Linked DNA regions of Mus musculus. The protein of the gene in region 4 purifies or fractionates together with the protein of the main gene of each other region. This does not show direct contact. Links are inferred from orthologs where the notes say so. Each region holds a gene or a part of one and is shown on either strand. Other genes may lie near its edges.

Region 1 (4,832 bases), on a different chromosome or scaffold from region 4:
GCCCTTCAGCCCAACCCTCCCTGCCCTATGACTTCTGTGGAGTTGTCACCATAGTGGTCTTGGAAAGTCTCTGGTTTCTAGCTTGGGGTATTGTGTCCCTCCTGTCTTCCTTGGTGTGGTGGGAGTCTCCTTAGAAGGCAGCTGTGATGTCCAGTGCCTGAGCTCCCCAAAGTGCATGGATTGGGGTTCAGGGTATGGGAGGGGTGGAGCAGGCTTTAAAACAACTAAAGGTGTGGTAGTTTTTACTAAATCTGCACAGAGGTGGAAGAGAGGGAAAGAGAGAGAGAGAAGCCTAGAATGACACAATTACATGGTCTTGCTGTTTTCTGGGTTGGACCTCTCCCGGGGTTTGGGATGGGGAACCTGAGCAGGGTTCCTGTATTGACTGACCCTCTCAAGCTGTTCTGGGGTTAGGGGCCGATCGGCCCCTCCTGGAGCATGGGGAGCATTCTTTTGGATCCCAGGTGTATCCCCTGTGTACTGGCCTCAGGCCTGTTGCCACTAGTGGGAGGGCATATGGATCCAGGTGGAAAGCCTGACCCCAGGACTGAGTGCTGGGCCTGTACCTAGTGGAGCGTAACTGAGGCAGTGGTGAGCAGTAGGTGCTTTTGAGGCCTTGAGGCCCACTGTTTAGGTTGGGCAGGATAGATAGATCCAGGTCTCCCAGCCCGGGCGCAAACATTCCTCTGACATTCAGAGGCTCCCTTTTTTCCTTCATCCACTTGTCTCTAGATGATGTGGGAAATGTAGTGTCTCCCTCTCAGGGTTCCCTGTAGCTTTAGTTGCCCCTGTGGTGGTGGGTGTGGGGTTGTGTGAGTGTTCAGGTAAGCTTGGGGTCTCCAGGTAAGCAGTCCCGTGTCCCAACCCCCACCCCACCCCCGGGAAGCCCGCCTCCTCGCCAGGCCCCCAGGAGTTGCCGGCCCCCCCCATCCCGCTCGGTTTGGACACCCGCAAGGCCGGCATCGGTAAATGGCACCTTTTTCTCTTCCTCTGGTTGTTATTGGGGGGGAGTGGGCAGGGGTGGGGCAGGGTATTGTGGTTGGTGAGCACAGCCCCTTAGGCCAGGGCTGGGACCTGGACAGGGACTTTTTGGCCTTCTTAACAGCCCTGCCTGATCACAGGCCTGGGCTCTGGGCCTTCCCACTATGTCTTATGCTCCTCAACTTCCCTGAGGGTTCAGGCAGGGCTGCATGCCCTGCTGGCCATTGACCTCGGCTTGGAGGACAGAGCTGGCCAGGCTAGGTGGTGGCAGGGTCAGTCGGCTCAGGTAAGGCAGGGATTTTGAGTAGCACGGTACATGTCCCTTTGAGTCCAGCCAGGGTCCTTGGAGGTCCCTGGGGAGCTCAGCACCCACCTATATCCCTGCCAGTTCCTGAAGGTCTTTCCACTCCTGTTCATTTCTGTTCTGATGTCTCTTTCCTCACACTGACCTCCCCTATAAAAACACACAGAAAAACAAAAACAAAAAAACAAAAAAATAATCTGGTGTGGTCTGGATGTGGTGGGGCCCAGTGGGCCTCCTGCCTCAGCATGGTGTCTAGGGTGCATGCCTGGGTGTGGAGGAGCCTAGCCAGCCTCCTGCCCAGCATGGTGTCTAGGGTGCATGCCTGGGTGTGGAGGAGCCCTCCCCACAGCAGAGGCCAGCATTCAGCTAACCTCCAGTTTCTTTGCAGCAATTTGGCCGCCCTGGCAGGAGGGGGCTGCTCCATCATGTGAAAGCTGGGGGAGGCCAGAGTAAATGTTTTACCCCCCCAATAGCACTTGGGGGTGCCAAAAAGGAATCAAGCACCGGATGGAGCAGGCCCTTCAGGGTGGGGAGAGGGCGGTCTGGCTGTTGGTTGCCTGGCTGACTGGTGGGAGTGTGAGTGTATGTGTGCAGATGGGGTTTGAGGGGCAGGGATGCTGTTGTATGGAGCCTTGTCTGACTAGAGGACCTTCTGGGGAATTCCCCCTCCCCCACATCTGTTGCAGCCGCTTACAAGCACGCAGATGGCAAGAAGATAGATGGCAGGAGGGTCCTCGTGGATGTGGAGAGGGGCCGGACTGTGAAGGGCTGGAGGCCCCGGCGCCTAGGTGAGTGCAGTATTCCTTCTGGGTGCCTGGGCCTGTGATTAGAGATTATTCTTCCTTCAGTCTCCCCAACCCATACGCCTGTTCCTCTCCATTTCCAGCTTGTCTTCTCATCATCTTCATGGCTTTGGACACTGGTGCACACAGACACCTACACATGAGCACCCAAGCATACCCTGGTCTTTCCTGCATGAGTGATTGACCAGCAGCAGTTCTTGTGCAGTGTGGGTAACTTCAGCACTGACCTCAGCCACCTTATGCCCATATACTTGGTATCATGGGCTGGGTTGGAGGGTATCACTGGCTCTAGCTTTGCTCTTGCTCTCACTGAGTGGCTTCTTCATTCACTCTCTAGCTGAGTCACCAGCCCAATTCCTGGCTTCACATCTGAAGCAAGAAAGCAGCAGCCTGTGCTCTGACCTTGCATCTGACCCTCCTGGCCTTTCTGGTGGTTGTGGGCTGTCTCCATGGGGGTTGTTGTGGCAAGTCTTGAAATATATCTGAGGGTCTTAAAGCATAAGGAATAGAGGTGCCTACTGATGCCAGGCTCTTGTTTCAGTCCCATGATTGTGATATCATCAATAGATCCTCACCAAGACCTTGAGACTGGACTTGGAGAGTTTGCTGCTCACTCTGTCAACAGGTGTCACTCTCTAAGCTATTTGCTGATGCCTCAAATTAGGCCCTGGCTGGGTTTAGGTCTTTTGTGTGAGTAGCTTCACTCTGTCTTAGGCAGTATTGCCTGGCTCTGCTTTCACCTGTGCACCTGTGCAGAGGTGACCTACCATCCCAACCCCCAGGGACCTCCAAGTCTTTTATTTATTTATTTATTTATTTATTTATTTTAAAGATTTATTTATTGTTATATGTAAGTACACTGTAGCTGACTTCAGACACTCCAGAAGAGGGCGTCAGATCTCATTACAGATGGTTGTGAGCCACCATGTGGTTGCTGGGATTTGAACTCAGGACTTTCGGAAGAGCAGTCAATGTTCTTAACCACTGAGCCATCTCTCCAGCCCCTTTTTTCTTTTTTAAAAAAGGTGGATCCTTTAGGCTGACTGCTGTGCTGAATGAAGTCTCAGAAACAAGACAGTTGTTGTGGTTACAGATTTGTTGATATTAATATAGTAAGGTATGAGCCCGCTTCACTCCCATGGACAGACACTTAGCCTAGGTGAGACTTTGGGCAGCATTTTTGCCCATGTGCATAAAGGTATTTGTTACTATTTGTGTGAGGATCTGAGATATGGTCTTAACTGTGAAGCCCAGGGTAGCCTCAGGCTCTTGGTGATCCTCCTGCCTCAACCTTTAATGAACAAGATGTTTGTTTTCTCTCAGTTTCTGAAGTTTCAGACTGAGTTAACTATTTCTGTTGCTTTTAGACTTGTGACAGTTAGATATGAAGAGTGATGGAGGGACGGAGTCTACTTAGGGTGCAGGAAGTGAGTGTTTATTTTGAAAACTGTTGACATTGTAGCTGTCTTTGGCCACTTTGTGGGTTCTTTTTTCAACCCTATTCTTCCACCCTTTCATCTCTGTAATACATAAGAGAGGAGGGGGAAAAGAATAGAGAGGAGTGGAAAGAGACCCCTGAATACAATCGGATTGAAAAGGAGACTACCTGCAGATTAGGGGCATTGAGTTCCTTGGGGCAAGTTTGATCTTCACCATTAGGATATGTAATTTCTTCTTGTTGTCTCTTATTTGTACCTGACTACTTAAGAAACCAACAACCTACCCTCTTGTACAATCCAGGATGCGTATACCCTCTGAAAAGTTCTCAGAATTCCAAATGCCACACAATCACAGTAACTATCCGCAGCTGGCAAAACCATGCCTCTTATAGGCATGAAGCAAACCCGCTGATTCAAAGCAGTCCCATATGCCCACACCTGGGATGAAAACAAAAACATGTTCTTATAATATTTCTGTGGGTTTTTTTGGTTTTTTCGAGATAGGGTTTCTCTATGTAGCCTGGCTGTCCTGGAACTCACTCTGTAGACCAGGCTGGCCTCAGAAATCTGCCTGCCTCTGCCTCCCGAGTGCTGGGATTAAAGGCGTGCGCCACCACTGCGCAGCTGTTTCCTGTTTTTTTTGTTTGTTTGTTTTGTTTTGTTTTTTTTAAGCAACCCAAATTACAGAACTCTTACTATAGACATTTTCTTGTATTGATAATGGCCTAGCTCATTGTTAGACTGTGATCCAGCAGCTGGAAGTCTGGGTCCTGCTTTGCAGTAGTCCAACCTGTTATCTATACCTAGTTTAACAGCCTAGCATGTGGCTGACCTCTTCGCTTTGCCTGTGCTCCTGTGTGAAACACAGCCCCACCTCACTAAACCTTCAGGTGGATGGTGCAGGAAACCACCACAGGCAGATGGGATTCTGAGACATGACCCTCCTTGCCAAGTCACTGGGGCAAGTGGCTCATTAGTAGATCCCTGTCTGAAAGATAAGACTGTCACCTGCTCCCTTGTGCTATTGGTTGGGTGAAAATCACCTTTATAGACCACGTATTGAATCTGCAAGTTTGAAGTATTCGTGGCACATCAGAATCTGGGGAGGTGTGGTAGTGCTTTCTTTGAACAGTTGGGGAGGTACTGATGGCCTCTAACAGTTCGTTGGAGCGTGCTATAGTGTGATGAGCAGGGCAGGGTCTGAGTTGGTGCTTTGAGACTGACAGGGAAGTAGAAGGTACAGAGACAAGGAAGGTGAGCTCACTCCTCAGAAGGTAAATGTTACATGGCTAAGGTGGGGAGCAC
Region 2 (5,514 bases), on a different chromosome or scaffold from region 4:
CAACTAGAATAGAATTTAGAGAAACATCGTAGGAATGTGGTTGTGTTGTCAGAAGGGAAACATTTCCCCCCCTTCAGGTGAGAGACCTGGATTGCTAAGTTGCAGTGACTCTCCCATCTCAGCATCTCAAGTAGATGGGACTACAGGCACATTACTGTGCAAAGTGAAAAAAGATGATTCAAACAAAAAACGGTGTGTGTGTGTGAAAATATAGTTGAGTGGTAGGACTGGTTTGCTCAAAGCCTTTCTAGTATGCATTGCTCTTCCCATACATCTAACCAACGATCGCAGGTCATCTAATAAGTATAGGGCTCTCAAATGGTGTGAATTAGCTAAAGAAGAGTAATCTTAGTTTCTTGGTAATCAATCTCATGTCCCAAGACCATGTAGGGGGAAATATACATGTTAAGCAAGCTCTCTACCACTACTATTTCTCTTGTCTTCTTTTTGAGACAGGCTTTCAGTAAATTTCCCAGGCTGCCTTGAACGCACTCTGTTGCTCAGGCAAGTCTTGAAGTTGCAGTTCTCCTCGGCTGGGCTTGTGTTCTTGCCTTTCACCCACCTCCTGGCCTGGAGACTTGGGAGTTCTCACTTTTCGATGATCTAAACTAGTGTTTTCTGTCTCCTCTAGATAGATCCTTTGCAGGTGAGGTCATGTGCAGTTATTCTCCCAGCCTGTCTCATCCGAGTTTCCCTTACACCTGAAGGTTCACGTTACACAGCTCCTGTTGCTCTCTTGAAGTCTTGTGATGCCCTTCTACTTAACACCCTTGCGCAGACTTAAAAGGTCTGAGTTCTGCACGCAGTCTCTGCACCTTTCCTTTGATGACACCCCCCCCTTTTAAAAAACAAACTGTTCAAACTGGATTTAGCCTCCTCAATGTTGCACTTGAAAGAAAAGCGTATTTTTGCCTGTAACCTCTTGTGATGGCTTTCAGAGGCTTACCAATTGTGGTACCTACCGTGGCACCGCCCAAACAATAACTCTTATTGTTAATTTCTAGGGTAGGTCAGTCAGATTCGGAGAAACTCGGGACATCATCCGTATTCTGCTATGTTGCAGGAATTCTCTTAAACGTCACCCATTTACCTCTGTAAGGGCACACGGGATGACCCGGGCGTGTCTCCACCTTGGGAGAGGCCCGTTGGTCGGTCGGGCGCAGCGCTCTGGGGCTGCGTCCTTCGCGCCCCTGGCAGTCTCAGCCTTCCCTCGCGAGGCGCCGCACACCGAGCGCCTCTCGTGCAAGGGCGAGGGGTTCGTAGAGTGCGAGTCCGTTAGGCAAAGTGGGGTACAGGACTAGCTCGGGCACTGGCAGCCCATGTGGGTCGGGACTGACCCCCTAAAGCGGGCAGGTAAGGGGACTGGTCCCAGGCGCCCCACGGAGATCGGGGATTTGGGCGCAGGGGGCGGGGCGGTACCCAGAGGAGGTTTGGCACAACCCGGCCCTCCAGCTCCTACGCGTTCTGAGGAGAAAGGGCATGGCTTCCTTTTCTTCGTGGTGTCTTTCAAAACCGACAGGAGCGCGGATGAAAAGCTGCGGATTAAGGGTAGAACTACCGCCCCTGCAAACCTGAACGAACTCTGGATTACTACCCAGTCCCTGCGGGGAGCTGATTAGCGCCATTCCCCTCCCCCACTCCGGCGGGTAGGTCTAGAGAACGGTTTGAAGGTAGCCGCATGCGCATTAAGTAAAACAAGAAACCGCTGAGACGCCAAGCGCAATAATTGCAAAAAGGCGCAGGCGCAGAAAGAAAAAAAAAAAACAACCAAAAACACCTCGGTCAGTTTATGAAGAGGGCTGAGCCCAAACGCATGCGTGTAATAATAGGACGGCGGGAGAGAGCTCGGGGTTTCTTAATACGCATGCGTCCAATCTCTCTGTGACGCAAGTGGGGCGGGGCCGGCAACAGGGTGCGCGTGCGCAGAGCTTGCTGGAAGGGCTTTATTTAGCCTGCGCAGGCGCCCGCTTATCATTTCTCCTCAGCCACGCCGAGGCTTTTTGTGGAGGTGAGTGACTTTCCGTCTTCGACTGCTGCCCGAGCTCTCCACGGACACCTCTTTGGGTGACGATTGCTTGTCGCTGAGCTTAGGTTCTAACCTGAGGGGCCGTGGCAGGCGCAGGCTGCCCCTGGGAGCCGCGAGTGTCTCGCCGGCGTGGCAGCGCCGCCTAGGCCTGCAGGCCGCGCCGCTTTCTATTGTGTGAGATGTCTGAGGAGGCGGAGCGGAAGCGGCGGCCGCCATTTCCTCGTCTCAACCGTGGCTGTGGGCCAGGGTCTTATTAGCTTGGCGCCTCGGCCCTGGGCGCACTGGGCGGCTTTGGGCATCGGGTCGCTAGCCGAGGCCGGGTTGCATGCTTGAGTCTCCGGGGCCCAGGCATCCTGACGGGCGGGACTCGCATGGCGGCGCCCGGTGCCCGCTGTGCGCCGTGAAGTGGGAGGGCCATTTAAATGCCTGTTTTCTCAGACGCGTTCCTGACCCCCACCCCCACCCCGCAGCCCCGCAATCTGTGTGGACGCCAGGACCACCGAAGGGACGATGATGCTGGGAGCAGAAGGCGGAGAGGGCTTCGTGGTGAAGGTCCGGGGCTTGCCCTGGTCCTGCTCCGCGGATGAAGTGCAGCGCTTTTTTTCTGGTGAGTTGAGGCGGGAGTTGTCAGTGGGGCCCGCGGCTGGGCCGGGCCGGGCCGGGTTGGGGCGGGGCGGGTCTCCCGGGCGCCCCCTAGCGAGTCGCGGCCACCAGCGGTTTCCCCAGGCGGCTCGCGCTCTGTTGGCCGCTGTTACGCAATGGTAATTGCGAAATCCGCACCCCCCCCAACCCCCTTGGGGATGCTGGTGGCCCTGCTGAATTTGTTTTCTTTTAAAACTTTTTCTGTCTCTATGCATCAATCTGTGCATTCTGGAGTAGTCTAAGAAAAATTTAAGTAGGGAAAGATGTGATTTCTTCTCAAGTCGTGTAAGGTTTTGTAAAAAGGTACTTGTAGTGTTGACCTTACCATCTGAATTTAGCTGTGGTAACAGAAAACGATCTGTAAATCGAGCCCCAAGTATACTGCAAGCAATTGCAGGGGGCCGTTGCCGTCCGGGTTTGAGTTGAACTGCAGCTTGGAGCCTTTAGTTGTTAACATTGGTCCCTTTTCGGATGAATATTGAGCTGGAGTTTGGATTTGAATGAAATTGTTATGTGGTTGCTGATAGAGGGAAGCTGACATGGTACCCAAACAAGAAAATGCTGTGAAGTCACCAGATCCAGATGAGATTATTCTGAGATAGTGTACCAAGAGATGGTTAATGGAAACTTAGAGGCAAGGTGGTAGCTTCATTTGAACTTTTTTTTTTTTTTTTTTCGAGACAGGGTTTCTCTGTGTAGCTCTGGCTGTCCTGGAACTCTGTAGACCAGGCTGGCCTCGAAATCAGAAATCCGCCTGCCTCTGCCTCCCCAGTGCTGGGATTAAACGCGTGCGTCACCACTGCCCTGCTCCATTTGAACTATTTTTGAGCATTGAGTTACCTTGTTGGACTAGGAATATATCCTGTATATGAGATAATTTGATCGTGTTCTGCTTGGTCAGTCTTTTTAGGCATGTTTTTTTTTTTTTGGTGTGTGTGATGACAGGAATATGCATTTTATCTGTAGTGGTTTTAAATCCTGTATTAAGCGTTGTTTTCTTTTCAGACTGCAAAATTCAAAATGGGGCTCAAGGTATTCGTTTCATCTACACCAGAGAAGGCAGACCAAGTGGCGAGGCTTTTGTTGAACTTGAATCAGAAGATGAAGTCAAATTGGCCTTGAAAAAAGACAGAGAAACTATGGGACACAGATATGTTGAAGGTTTGATTTACATTGCCCTAGTAACAGTAAACGTTTAAACACATAGAGGTCTTACCCCTTCTGAATTTTAGGTATTTGACCGCATGGAAATGGTCATCTAAGGGAGTTTATGGCAGCTCTTCCTAGTTATCTAAAAGCCCAGGAAATCTGAACTTTGTTCTCCAACTTAATTGACTAATTCTAAGCACCTCTTTCAGTATTCAAGTCAAACAACGTTGAAATGGATTGGGTGTTGAAGCATACTGGTCCAAATAGTCCTGACACAGCCAATGATGGCTTTGTACGGCTTAGAGGACTCCCTTTTGGATGTAGCAAGGAAGAAATTGTTCAGTTCTTCTCAGGTATGTAGTCCTGTTTGTTGCTGAGCAGTGAGGTATGGCAGCTTCTGGCGACATGAATTAGTATTAGTAGACCTTTAAAAAGTTGAATAGTCTAGGTACTTAAAGTAGGCTGTTGAATATATGTTGTTGAATTCACATTTTCTTCCTGGAGACCTTCAAATAACTTAAGCCCATCTTAAAGGTGGAAATTAGAAGTATTTCCAAAGTGTTAACTTTGCCTATATTTAGTATTGTAGTTCAGAGTAGACCTTTGAGGATTCTACTCAGCCATCTTAACTTCCTCATATTGCTGTTTAGCAAAGTACTTCAAGTTAAAGGTAAGCTCTTTTAACATTAGATTAGTGTGAGTCTAGATTGTTACAGTTTATGGTGTTATAACTTATTTTCCGTCATGGGACCAGAAATATTTTAGCTAGTGTAATTCTCTGTATGAAAATTGTTATGAAAGGAACTTGGCTTAGGTAGCCTATTAGAAGTCAAAAAAGTAAATTGTAGCAAGTGTAGGTTGAATGCTTGTAGTCTCAATATGAAAGCAGTATAGAAGTTTTTGAAGTTGTTCTGGGCCTAAAGTATTTGAATGTTTTTATGTTGAAGAGCTGATAGGATTTGCATGCTTAGCAGAATGTTAAATCTTGTATATTTTAAGTACTATTAATACTCTTGATGACATAGACAGAATTAATCAAATATCTTAATAGTTTTTAGCATAGTATGTATTAGAACTTTGACTAGAACTTTATATATGTATCAATTTGTAATATTTTATAGTTTGAAATCAAGTCTGTTTTGTTTTATCTAAATTGGTGAGAATTGAATGCTATCTGTCAACGTTAAATATGAACATAATTTCATATCTTCTAGGAAAGTGCTTTAAGGCCTTTTTGTAAGCTTGGGAATGTATCCACGGGAAGGATTTTTCATAGACGGAATTTCCAGAAGTGAATCATACTACTGTTAGAACATAAGAGTGCATGATTGCTTTGTAGATAGTTATTGTTGAAAGTTTAGTTTGTATGTTTGTCAATTATGATTTTTAAAATGTTTTCAATTTTTACATAAACTGTTTAAATGTGTAATTTTAAAATTGAAGTTCCAATAACTTAAAAAGAATTGAAATATATGAGGTTAAAAGGTTTCTTATTTTACTTAAATTGTTATTTTAATGCTTAAAAAATTTAAAGTTCTTGTATAATTCTATTAAGATGCATAGATTAAAATGTTTTTAATTGTTGAATTCTTAATGCACCCTCTGGAGTATAACACTTTTTTTTCTTTACTGTATATACTATGCCTTGGGTGTGTTAAGAATTGAGTTATACTCTTTATAGTGGAACTTCTTATTAT
Region 3 (4,832 bases), on a different chromosome or scaffold from region 4:
AAAATCACTAGTCTACATTTGTTGCTTGAAACTACACATGAACTACAGATTAAGTGGGAAATGGGTTTACTTTTTTGGTGCAAATAAACATCTTGGAAAAACATACAGCATGCATTTTTCAACTGTATGCACAGGCTCCGACAGAGTCCAGTCTTAATAGCCACCACCACCCCCTCCTCCTCTTCCTTGTCCAAAATAACCACCTCCATAACCCCTTCGCTGGAATCCTCCAGATCCTCTATAGCCCCCACCGGATCCCCGGTAGTCTCCACTGGACCCTCTGTAGTCTCCACCAAAGTTGTTTCTGTAGCCTCCTTGGGAACCTCCTCTATACCCTCCCCCGCCACCACCATAATTCCCACGGTAAGAGTTGGGGCTTATACTATAACCTTCCCCACCACCATAACCCCCTCCCCCACCTCCATATCCTCCACTGCCTCCTCCATAGCCACCACCACCACCTCCTCCATAGCCACCACCTCCAACACCATACCCTCCCCCACCACTTCCAAAGCCCCCACTACCCCCAAATCCGCCACCTCCACCTCCTCTGCCACCACCAAATCCACCACCTCCTCCACCACTGAAGCCTCCTCCACCACCACCAAATCCACCTCCACCACTGCCAAAGCCTCCCCCACCACTACCAAAGCCTCCCCCACCGCTGTTAAAGCCTCCTCCAAAGCCTCCCCCACTTCCAAAGCCTCCTCCAAAGCCTCCACTACCGTATCCGCCACCATATCCTCCGCCACCATATCCTCCCCCACCATATCCCCTTCTATATCCACTTCCATTATCATATCGGGCCATCTTGGGAGGTCGTGGACCATCGCCGTACCTAGGGGGGGAAAAATCATTTTAGCTGTGCTCTGCACACTAAATTAGCAATCACAGTGAATTAATTTTGACCTAATAATGAGACTCATGTGGTATAAACAGCCCTTTCAGTATTTTTCCATAGACCACAAAGTTCCTGTAATTCACAGTATTTTTTTTATCAAGTGTTTTCCTGTACAAATGACTTTGGTGGAAACTCCTCATGACTCCCTACCTGTATTTGTTCATGTTAAAGAAGCCAGAGTAATAAATCATAACAACAGTTCAGTTATACTAAAATTAAAGGCAGATAACTTGATAAAAGATCCAGAGGATCTTTCATAGTGTGTTTATTACTTCAAAAGTGATTAAAATTGAAATACTCAAAACTAATAAGCATAAATAAGGAACACAAACATACACTGTAACATTCCTTTCTTATAAATGCAGGTGGGTGACCACTGAAGAGAAATTTCTTAAGGCAGACAGTAAAATAAACACTGACCTTTCTATTTGAGAAAGGAATAATACTGTATCTGAGATTCCACAGTATGGAGGAAAAGGCCTCATCTAGGTTACATCATTTTCAGACTTTTAATCTGTTCTACTTTTTAGGGCTTTATTTCTCATATGGCATTGTAAATTAATTTATAGGAAAAAAGGAAATCTTTTGTTCTGAGTCAAATTAAACTCCCACATTTAATGTTAAATAATTTTAACCTAAGTATCAAGGACTCTACCAACTAGTTTTAATAATTCTAGGTCTGCAAAAGCTAGACACATAAAATTAGGTACTCACCTTACACTTCCAATCATAAGGTTGATACCAGCAGCTGAGGGCCTAGAAATCTGTCGGATTGTGTTTAGCATATGTTCATTTACAGGGTCCAATTGGCTGATAATATTTGGTTGTTTGGACACTTCAACAACCAGAGCTTCCATGGCTGCCCGGAGGGCTGTGATGCATGCTGCAGCTTCATGAGATATTTGCAGTCTGATCCTAAGATGAAGGAAAACAAGACATAAAACTGGAAACATATACAGAAAGAGGCAGATGAATACCTGACAAACTGCCCTCCCATGTGTTAAAGTCGTGGCATAAATTTAACTATTTCATTAAAATTAAGACATGCCCCAAACCTAGGTGAATGTAATAACAGTAACATTCAGTATGAACATACAAACATCTCAAAAAATGTCCAGTTCTAAGTATATAATATACCAGACTAAGAACATCTCTAAGGACTATTATTAAACACATTATTCTAAGAAATCTTTATTCTAAAAATTCAGGTTGAAGATTACGACTGAAAGTCCCTACCAGTCATCTATAAACACAATCTGCCCATCCGACTGGACTTTCTTGGAGGCAAAGAGAAGTAGCTGTAAGGGGGTCACTAAGGTCATGCCTTTAGCAGAGATGGCTCGGGTTCTAATCTGTAAATAAAGAAAATGTAAAATGTCACACATTGATAGGTAATTAGTCACATTACATTTCTCATCTTTCAGACTTCTCTAATCCTCTTACCTTTTCACCAAAAACAAAGAAAGGAGATGGGTACTTCATGTCTTGGCTGCTGAAAGGACAGTTCACAGATGACTTGTGGATAAGTGCATTGCGCCCTTCAGTGGTAAGAATCTTTCTCTTCTCCTTATGATAGCATACATTGGGGTACACACCAAAAGCCAGCAGAGAGATAACAACATCCAAATTATTATCTGGTCCAGTGTTAGTAAACACTTGTGTCAATAAACAATCTGTAAAAAAAAATTTTGGGAAAATGGTTTGTAAAAATTAAATAACAGCATGACTCTCTAAGCCCTCTGACAACTTTCTTAGAACTTTCCCAACACAGAGCAACTTTGAGAAATGCATTCGCTGTTATTACTAGCAAAGCAGATGAAACGACAATTCAAGAAGTCCCTATGCCTGGTTCCATAGGGTAGTGGTTATCACATCTGCTTTATATGCAGAAGGTCCTGAGTTTGAGCCCCAGTGGAACTATGTGGTGTGCTTATTAATTAGGCCAGTTGGCAGTGGCGCACACCTTTAATCCTAGCACTTGGGAGGCGGAGGCAGAGGCAGGCGGATTTTTGAGTTTGAGGCCAGCCTGGTCTACAGAGTGAGTTCTAGGACAGCCAGGGCTATAAAGAAAAACCCTGTCTCAAAAACAAAAAAACAAAAATAAACAAACAACACCCCCAAAACAAACAAACAAACAAACAAACCTACTTCAACTATAACCTTTTAAAATTCTACTTTCTGGTACTAACATATATTCTGTTTCTGGTTAAGCCCACTCCAGTTCACAAAGTTTAATCCAGTTGGAACTCAACTTGCTATAAACAAAGTTGAATAAGTGTCTCATCCATCATATAAAAATATGTATGTTCAAATAGGTGAGAATCATAAATATTCTCCTGTACCTGTAGTTTATTGCCATGACTCACAAATTATCTTTTTAGGGGAGTTTCTTTCTATATAATTGAGAATGGGTATTACAACTAATTCAGACTATCTTTGAATTATCACTGATTTTATTCTGCTTTTAGCCCCCTAGATCTAGAGTTACCAACATGAGACACAATGACCAGTTTATAAATACCTTCGGGAAATCCAGAGTTAATCAGAATCTCTTTAAGCTGTACTTTGGCCTCCCAAGTCATTCTCAGTGTAGCCATATTGAGTCTCTTCTGCTCACAAAAACGTATTTCTGCTTCTTCTCCACTCATCCTAAACAAAAGAGAAAAAGCATTCACTCTCAAAGGCTCAGCAAGCTGAATTACATACTCAAATAGCTTACAGAGTTGCCTATAAACTCCTACCTAGCATCATCCCAGGCTTGGAATACTGATAAAAGAGCCACGTGATCAGAAAATCTGTTTCCAGCAAAATTCCGGTGTATGTATCCCAGGCGTTTTCCTTCGCTGATAAAGGGTTCTGGGAAGCAGGTAGCAGCAGAGATGGTACAGACAGCATCTCCCACACTGAAACAAGAGTAGTATAACAGTTTAAGTCTTCTTGCTAGAAGACCTTCAAATGTGGACTGAATCTTCTGTTGGCTAGGATACTGCCTCTATCCCTGAACTCATCAAAGAACTCCAAAATAAAAACTAATATTAGGGCCCCCAATGGAGGAGCTAGATAAAGTACCCAAGGAGCTGCAGGGGTCTGCAACCCTATAGGTGGAACAACAATATGAACTAACCAGTACCCCCAGAGCTCGTGTCTCTAGCTGCATATGTAGCAGAAGATGGTCCAGTCCGCCATCATTGGGAAGAGAGGCCCCTTGGTATTGCAAACTGTATATGCCTCAGTAGGGAGGAACGCCGGGGCCAAGAAGTGGGAGTGGGTGGGGAAGGGAGCAGGGGACTTTCAGATAGCATTTGAAATGTAAATGAAGAAAGTATCTAATAAAAAATTGGAAAAAAATTAATAACAAAACTAATATTTACTATAAATGACTATAGTTAAGATTTTTTTTAACACCAGATCATCTTGTCTTTATTAAATCCAATCTATTAAAAATAAAACAAAAAACTTACTAGAAAATACACCCCATTATCATCATTTTTCCAAAACGAGGTTCAATGGGGAGTTTAGCCAGGATTCGTCCAAGAGGAGTCAACTCATCATTGGCATCTAAAGCATCAAGTTCTGTAGGAAAATACTTATTTGTGAGTGATGTCAATAAATGTGGTATTAGTATTTAATCTTGTGACAAGTCAAATATGATGCCTGGAGCAAACAAGTCAAAAAACAAAAACAAACCCTGGATTACCTAACACAAAAGATGCTATAAAAGTATGTTCTATGCAAACTGGACTATAGCCATTGATACAGTAGCAGCATCAGCAATTAAGTACCCACATATCCTATAAGTAGTTGAGTACAAGATTCCAAGTTAAATGCAGAGCCATCTGAACTCAATACCCTTATTTTTTACACACCACTTTTATAACAAATTTGAGATAAAAACAAAAACCAAAAAGCCCAACCTCTAAGACACACACAC
Region 4 (4,832 bases):
ATCACTCTCCTTAAAAACTGTTCAAATGGGAGTAAATTTTTTTTCTTGTAACTCTAATAGTCAACCTAAAACTCTCAAATCTCACAGTAACACTCCCCAAATAAAGAGCGGACACCGACTATCTGAGGAGCTACCCCCTTCAGCCTCACTCCCACTCCGATGCTCAGGAGACTCCTACAATGCCTGGAACCTCAGCGTGGGAGGGAGAGGCTATACAACAAGTTCAAGTCAGTCATAGACTATGAGACCCAGCAAAGTACACTTGTCACACATCCTGATAATCTGATTTCTGTCCCCAGAACATACAGTGGGAGAACAAAAGCCTTCACCCCACCCTCCACATGCCTATACTCACACACACACATCCTCTATCACACACTCCAAAGGAGATCCCATCTCAAAATAAATAAATAAATAAATAAATAAATAAATAAATAAATAAATAAATCCTGTACCACTCAAGCTAGCTTAAATTTGTTACAAAAAGGCCACAACTTCTTTTGTTTTTAAAAAACTCATCAAATACTGTGCACTGTGTTCCTGGCACTAAATATAGACAATGAAACCATCCAATCAGAAAAAGTCCCTGCATAACTGACTTTTTGTCACCTAGTTTCTCCATTTAAGGATCCAAGAGTGCTACAACACTAGGGAGAGAGGGAGGTGTACAGGGCTGCAGGGTGTGGGAGGGACGCAAGGAGCAGGGTGCTTGCTGAGCACACAGGAAATCGGGGTTGGACCCTCAGCACTACATAAACTGCTGTGGAATAAACTTATCATCTCAGCTCTTTGGTGGTGCCAGCAGGAAAATTGTAAGTTAGCTAGTTCTAGGACAACTTGAGCTACATAAAACTCTTTCTTAAACAACAACAACAACCCAAAAGTAGAAAGGCACTCGGATGGTAGTAGAGCACTCCTCTTACCCTAGCATTTGGGAAACAGAAGCAGGAGCTATCTCTGAGGTCTAGGCCAGGCCAGCCTAGACTACAGAGGGAGTTCCAGGATTGCCAGGAATGCACAGTGGAAAAGGGGGAAAAAAAAAGTCCAGAGAGAAACTTTTAAAAAAGCCTAAGAGTCACTCACTTTCCCACTTTCTCTCTCTCTCTCACTCTCTCTCTGACTCTCTCTGACTCTCTCTCTCTCTCTCTCTCTCTCTCTCTCGATTCTAATCTACACTCTCCTTCATGGGATTCCCTCCCAGTCAGAATATTTCTCAGTCATTTCTAAGTGCATTTTGTGTTGAAAGAAAGCAAAGTACTGACATTACAAAACGCAAATGATTGAGACATGATGACTCACCCCAGCACAACCCCAGCATTCAAGAGGCCACCCGATTACCAATTGTTCAAGGCAAGCCTGATCTTCACAGAGTACTTTAGGCCAGAAAAAGCTACATATAAGACTTTGTCTTAAAATAAAATAAATATGAGCTGAGTCCAATAGCACATGCCTACAACCCCAACACTCAGAAGGGAGGCCCCATCGTCAAGGTAGTCTGGGCTACATACTAAGATATCACATCAAATGAAAGATTTAGGTCAGAAGAATGGCATAGAGGCAGAACACATGCTCAGAATGAATGAGGCCCCAACTCAATCCCTAGCACAAAAAATTTTAAAATTCTGCAAAATTAAAAACAACTGCATCCGGCTGGAAAGATGGCTCAGTGGTTAAGAGCACTGACTGCTCTTCCAGAGGTCCTGAGTTTAATTCCCAGAAACCACATGGTGGCTCACAACCATCTGTAATGGGATCTCATGCCCTCTTCTGGTGTGTCTGAAGACAGCTACAGTATACTCATATATACAAAATAAACAAATCTTGAAAAAAAAGATTTCTAAACCAAGGTCAGTTATCCTTGCTAATAATGACACAAATACACATAGATACTACCAATATAACACTAGCCACACTTTGACAGTAATCAAGTACTTTACCCACATCATAAGCTGGATTATACAGTTAATAGATTGGAAAGATTTTCCCACAAAGGGCTAAAAGCACTTACCTCTGTCCCAATCCCAGGCTGCACACCCGAGTACACACTGTCTGGTGGGGGACCGCCATACTTCCTCTGTCCCGTGGTCACATCCAAAGTATAACCAGTCCTCTCAAGCAAGGCCTAGAGATAATTACACATGTTAAACTTGAAAGTACAAACACACACACAAACTGTCACATCTTTGAAATGCATTTTATGATGAATTAAAAAGGAGCAGCTGGAAATAAAGCATGCATGCACGAGGCACCAGATTCTACCTGCAGTGCCACATAAACCCCAGAGATGGGGCCAGGCAGCAGTCGTGCATGACTTTAATCCCAATACCTGGGAAACAGAGGTAGGCAGATCTTTAAGTTTAAGACCAGCCTGATCTACTCAGTGAGTTCCAGGACAGCCAGGGCCACACAGAAAAACCCTGTCTGAAGCTACCCCCCGAAAAAAAGAAAAATAAAAGTGAGGGGCTAGAGAAATAGCTTAGCAGTTAAGAGTTTACTGCAGAGGGCACAAGTTTAGTTCACAGCACACATGTGAAATGTCTCATTATTAACTGTCTGTAACTCCAGGTCCAGGGGGTCCAATACCTCTTCTGGCCTCCATAGACACTGTAGTCCTGCATACAAACCCACACTCAAACAAACACATATACATATAATTAAAAACAAGAGTAAACTATTTAAAAGAGGACGGCTGGAGAGATGGCTCTGAACTAAAGCGCACCTGCTGCTCTTGCAGACCTTCGGAGTTTGGTTCCCAGTACACATGGCAGCCCACAACTGCCCTTAACTACTCCATTTGTCTGCTTCATACTCTTACCAAGCTACAAGCTCAACACAACTGGAATATCTCACAGGATACTCTAAATTTGGAAACTTCCAAATAAATATACTCTGATTTCAAAACATGAATCATTATTTGAGAGCCGGGCATGGTGGCGCATGCCTTTAATCCCAGCACTCGGGAGGAGAGGCAGGCGGATTTCTGAGTTCGAGGCCAGCCTGATCTACAAAGTGAGTTCCAGGACAGCCAGGGCTACACAGAGAAACCCTGTCTCGAAAAACAAAACAAAAAGAATCATTATTTGATTCCACCTCACTAACACTAACTAACAGAGGTCACAGAAACAATGTTCTTGCCCTCAAAAAGCTTGCACGATAGATAACATTCGTATGAAATTTCATATGAAAGGTCTATAGAATATCTTTTGTTGGCAAACAAAATATGCACTCTACCAAGAAAGAGAAGGGCTCTGCATGTTAGGTATGTAATTACAAAGAGCACCAGCAGATTCATGTTTGTTAGAGTTAGTTAACCCTGGGATTCCACAGGGAAGAATGTCTTGAACCTTCCATTTTTCTACCAGGGGAAGGGGGTTAGTCAGCCAATCAGGGTTGTTACACAGTAGTTTGGCATTTGTTTAAGAATGGGGCTAGATCAGTTTATAAACAGATGAGAATGGAGGAGAAAAGTATAAAGGCACTTTACAAAGTTAGTTATACCCAAGCCTGAGTCACCAGGGCAAACAACTCTAAAACTCAATACCATTCCAATTAAATCTTTAAGGACAGCTTAGGATAGAGCACTTGATTAGCATGTGTAAAGCCCTGGATTAGGTCCCCACCACTGCAACCTTGACAAAACCCCTTTAACAAGGTCTTTTAGGAAAAGCCTTTTTGACTTTCAAAGCAATTTATCTAAGTTAATAATAATAATAATGACCGGGGAAGGTAGTTACTTTACATATGAATTCATCTAATCTTCACAACTTAAGGAGGTAGGCAAAACCAAAACCATTTTATAAAATCAAAAAAGGTCAAAGCCAGCCGGGCAGTGGTGGCGCACGCCTTTAATCCCAGCACTTGGGAGGCGGAGGCAGGCGGATTTCTGAGTTCGAGGCCAGCCTGGTCTACAAAGTGAGTTCCAGCCAGGGCTATACAGAGAAACCCTGTCTTGAAAAACCAAAAAAAAAAAAAAAAAAAAAAAAAAAAAAAAAAAGGTCAAAGCCGGTTTATAAATACACTGAGGTCAGAGAAAATTCAAAAGGAGGAAAGCAGTTAGAATACCACAGCTCTTCCCTAAGGCCTTTCACTTCAGCACTCAGTAGGCTGAGGCAGGATCACCTTGTTGGGAACCAGTCTGGGCTATAAAATGAGTTCCAGGCCAGTTTGAGCTACATAATGGTACCCTGTACCAAACAAAATATATATATATATATATAAAAGAGTGCTTATAAAGCAATAATAAACATGCCCCTCCCTCTTTGTCAGAAGACTGAGGATCAAGGAAGAGTCTGAACTAGACATTCCCATACTGTGACTCTTTTACCTTGATTTTTGCTTCATCGGGCCCTTTCGTGGACTCTTGTACCTTGCTGCCTTGTTTCTCTCTTTGCCTGTAGGTCTTCATAACTCCACATAAAAATGCACTTTTGTTCTAAAAGATGCAAGCAATTCAAAAGGAAGAATTACCAGGAATCTCTGAAGGGTCAAATACACAATAAATTTAAATTTAAATGATAGCATTTTAAGACCAACGTTTTAACAAAAATATTCATTCCATTCATTCAACAAATACTTTGACATGCCTGAGGCTGGAGCAGACAGTAAGTCAGTACCTCAGGGAGCTTGCCTTCTAAACTGGAAAAAAACAAACAAACAAAAAAAGGGGGGGGCTCACTTCCATTTGTTATTCTTTACCTGAATCTGGACTACCTTTCCAAAATGGCTAAATGTATTTCTCATACAAAGATAGCCCAATAGCACCCCCCTTTATTGCAGACGATTTAAACATATAAAACTGTCACAGTAACAATAAAATCCAAACATGACTAAGT

What was found.
Region 1: the proteins of Hnrnpr (region 4) and Snrnp70 purify together in Homo sapiens (affinity purification with mass spectrometry; 3 studies listed by BioGRID and IntAct, with this or other methods). This does not show direct contact. The link is inferred for Mus musculus from reciprocal best matches to the Homo sapiens genes HNRNPR and SNRNP70.
Region 2: the proteins of Hnrnpr (region 4) and Hnrnph1 fractionate together in Homo sapiens (co-fractionation; 3 studies listed by BioGRID and IntAct, with this or other methods). This does not show direct contact. The link is inferred for Mus musculus from reciprocal best matches to the Homo sapiens genes HNRNPR and HNRNPH1.
Region 3: the proteins of Hnrnpr (region 4) and Dhx9 fractionate together in Homo sapiens (co-fractionation; 3 studies listed by BioGRID and IntAct, with this or other methods). This does not show direct contact. The link is inferred for Mus musculus from reciprocal best matches to the Homo sapiens genes HNRNPR and DHX9.

What each region holds. Positions count from the first base shown.
Region 1 is NC_000073.6:45,377,958-45,382,789, reverse strand, and holds part of Snrnp70 (U1 small nuclear ribonucleoprotein 70 kDa), read left to right. Parts: exon of another isoform or gene 1-1,971; coding exon 1,972-2,073; intron 2,074-2,171; coding exon of another isoform or gene 2,172-2,272; exon of another isoform or gene 2,273-2,294; intron 2,295-2,629; exon of another isoform or gene 2,630-2,713; intron 2,714-3,455; exon of another isoform or gene 3,456-3,981; intron 3,982-4,832. UniProt on the Homo sapiens protein: Component of the spliceosomal U1 snRNP, which is essential for recognition of the pre-mRNA 5' splice-site and the subsequent assembly of the spliceosome. SNRNP70 binds to the loop I region of U1-snRNA.
Region 2 is NC_000077.6:50,375,795-50,381,308, forward strand, and holds the start of Hnrnph1 (heterogeneous nuclear ribonucleoprotein H), read left to right. Parts: upstream 1-1,883; 5' UTR 1,884-2,008; exon of another isoform or gene 2,009-2,064; intron 2,065-2,441; exon of another isoform or gene 2,442-2,496; 5' UTR 2,497-2,536; coding exon 2,537-2,633; intron 2,634-3,673; coding exon 3,674-3,829; intron 3,830-4,026; coding exon 4,027-4,170; intron 4,171-5,514. UniProt on the Homo sapiens protein: This protein is a component of the heterogeneous nuclear ribonucleoprotein (hnRNP) complexes which provide the substrate for the processing events that pre-mRNAs undergo before becoming functional, translatable mRNAs in the cytoplasm.
Region 3 is NC_000067.6:153,455,916-153,460,747, forward strand, and holds part of Dhx9 (ATP-dependent RNA helicase A), read right to left. Parts: intron 4,475-4,832; coding exon 4,363-4,474; intron 3,805-4,362; coding exon 3,643-3,804; intron 3,551-3,642; coding exon 3,423-3,550; intron 2,822-3,422; exon of another isoform or gene 2,749-2,821; intron 2,575-2,748; coding exon 2,345-2,574; intron 2,254-2,344; coding exon 2,138-2,253; intron 1,817-2,137; coding exon 1,616-1,816; intron 839-1,615; coding exon 154-838; 3' UTR 1-153. UniProt on the Homo sapiens protein: Multifunctional ATP-dependent nucleic acid helicase that unwinds DNA and RNA in a 3' to 5' direction and that plays important roles in many processes, such as DNA replication, transcriptional activation, post-transcriptional RNA regulation, mRNA translation and RNA-mediated gene silencing.
Region 4 is NC_000070.6:136,316,684-136,321,515, reverse strand, and holds part of Hnrnpr (heterogeneous nuclear ribonucleoprotein R), read right to left. Parts: intron 4,433-4,832; coding exon 4,325-4,432; intron 2,123-4,324; coding exon 2,009-2,122; intron 1-2,008. UniProt on the Homo sapiens protein: Component of ribonucleosomes, which are complexes of at least 20 other different heterogeneous nuclear ribonucleoproteins (hnRNP). hnRNP play an important role in processing of precursor mRNA in the nucleus.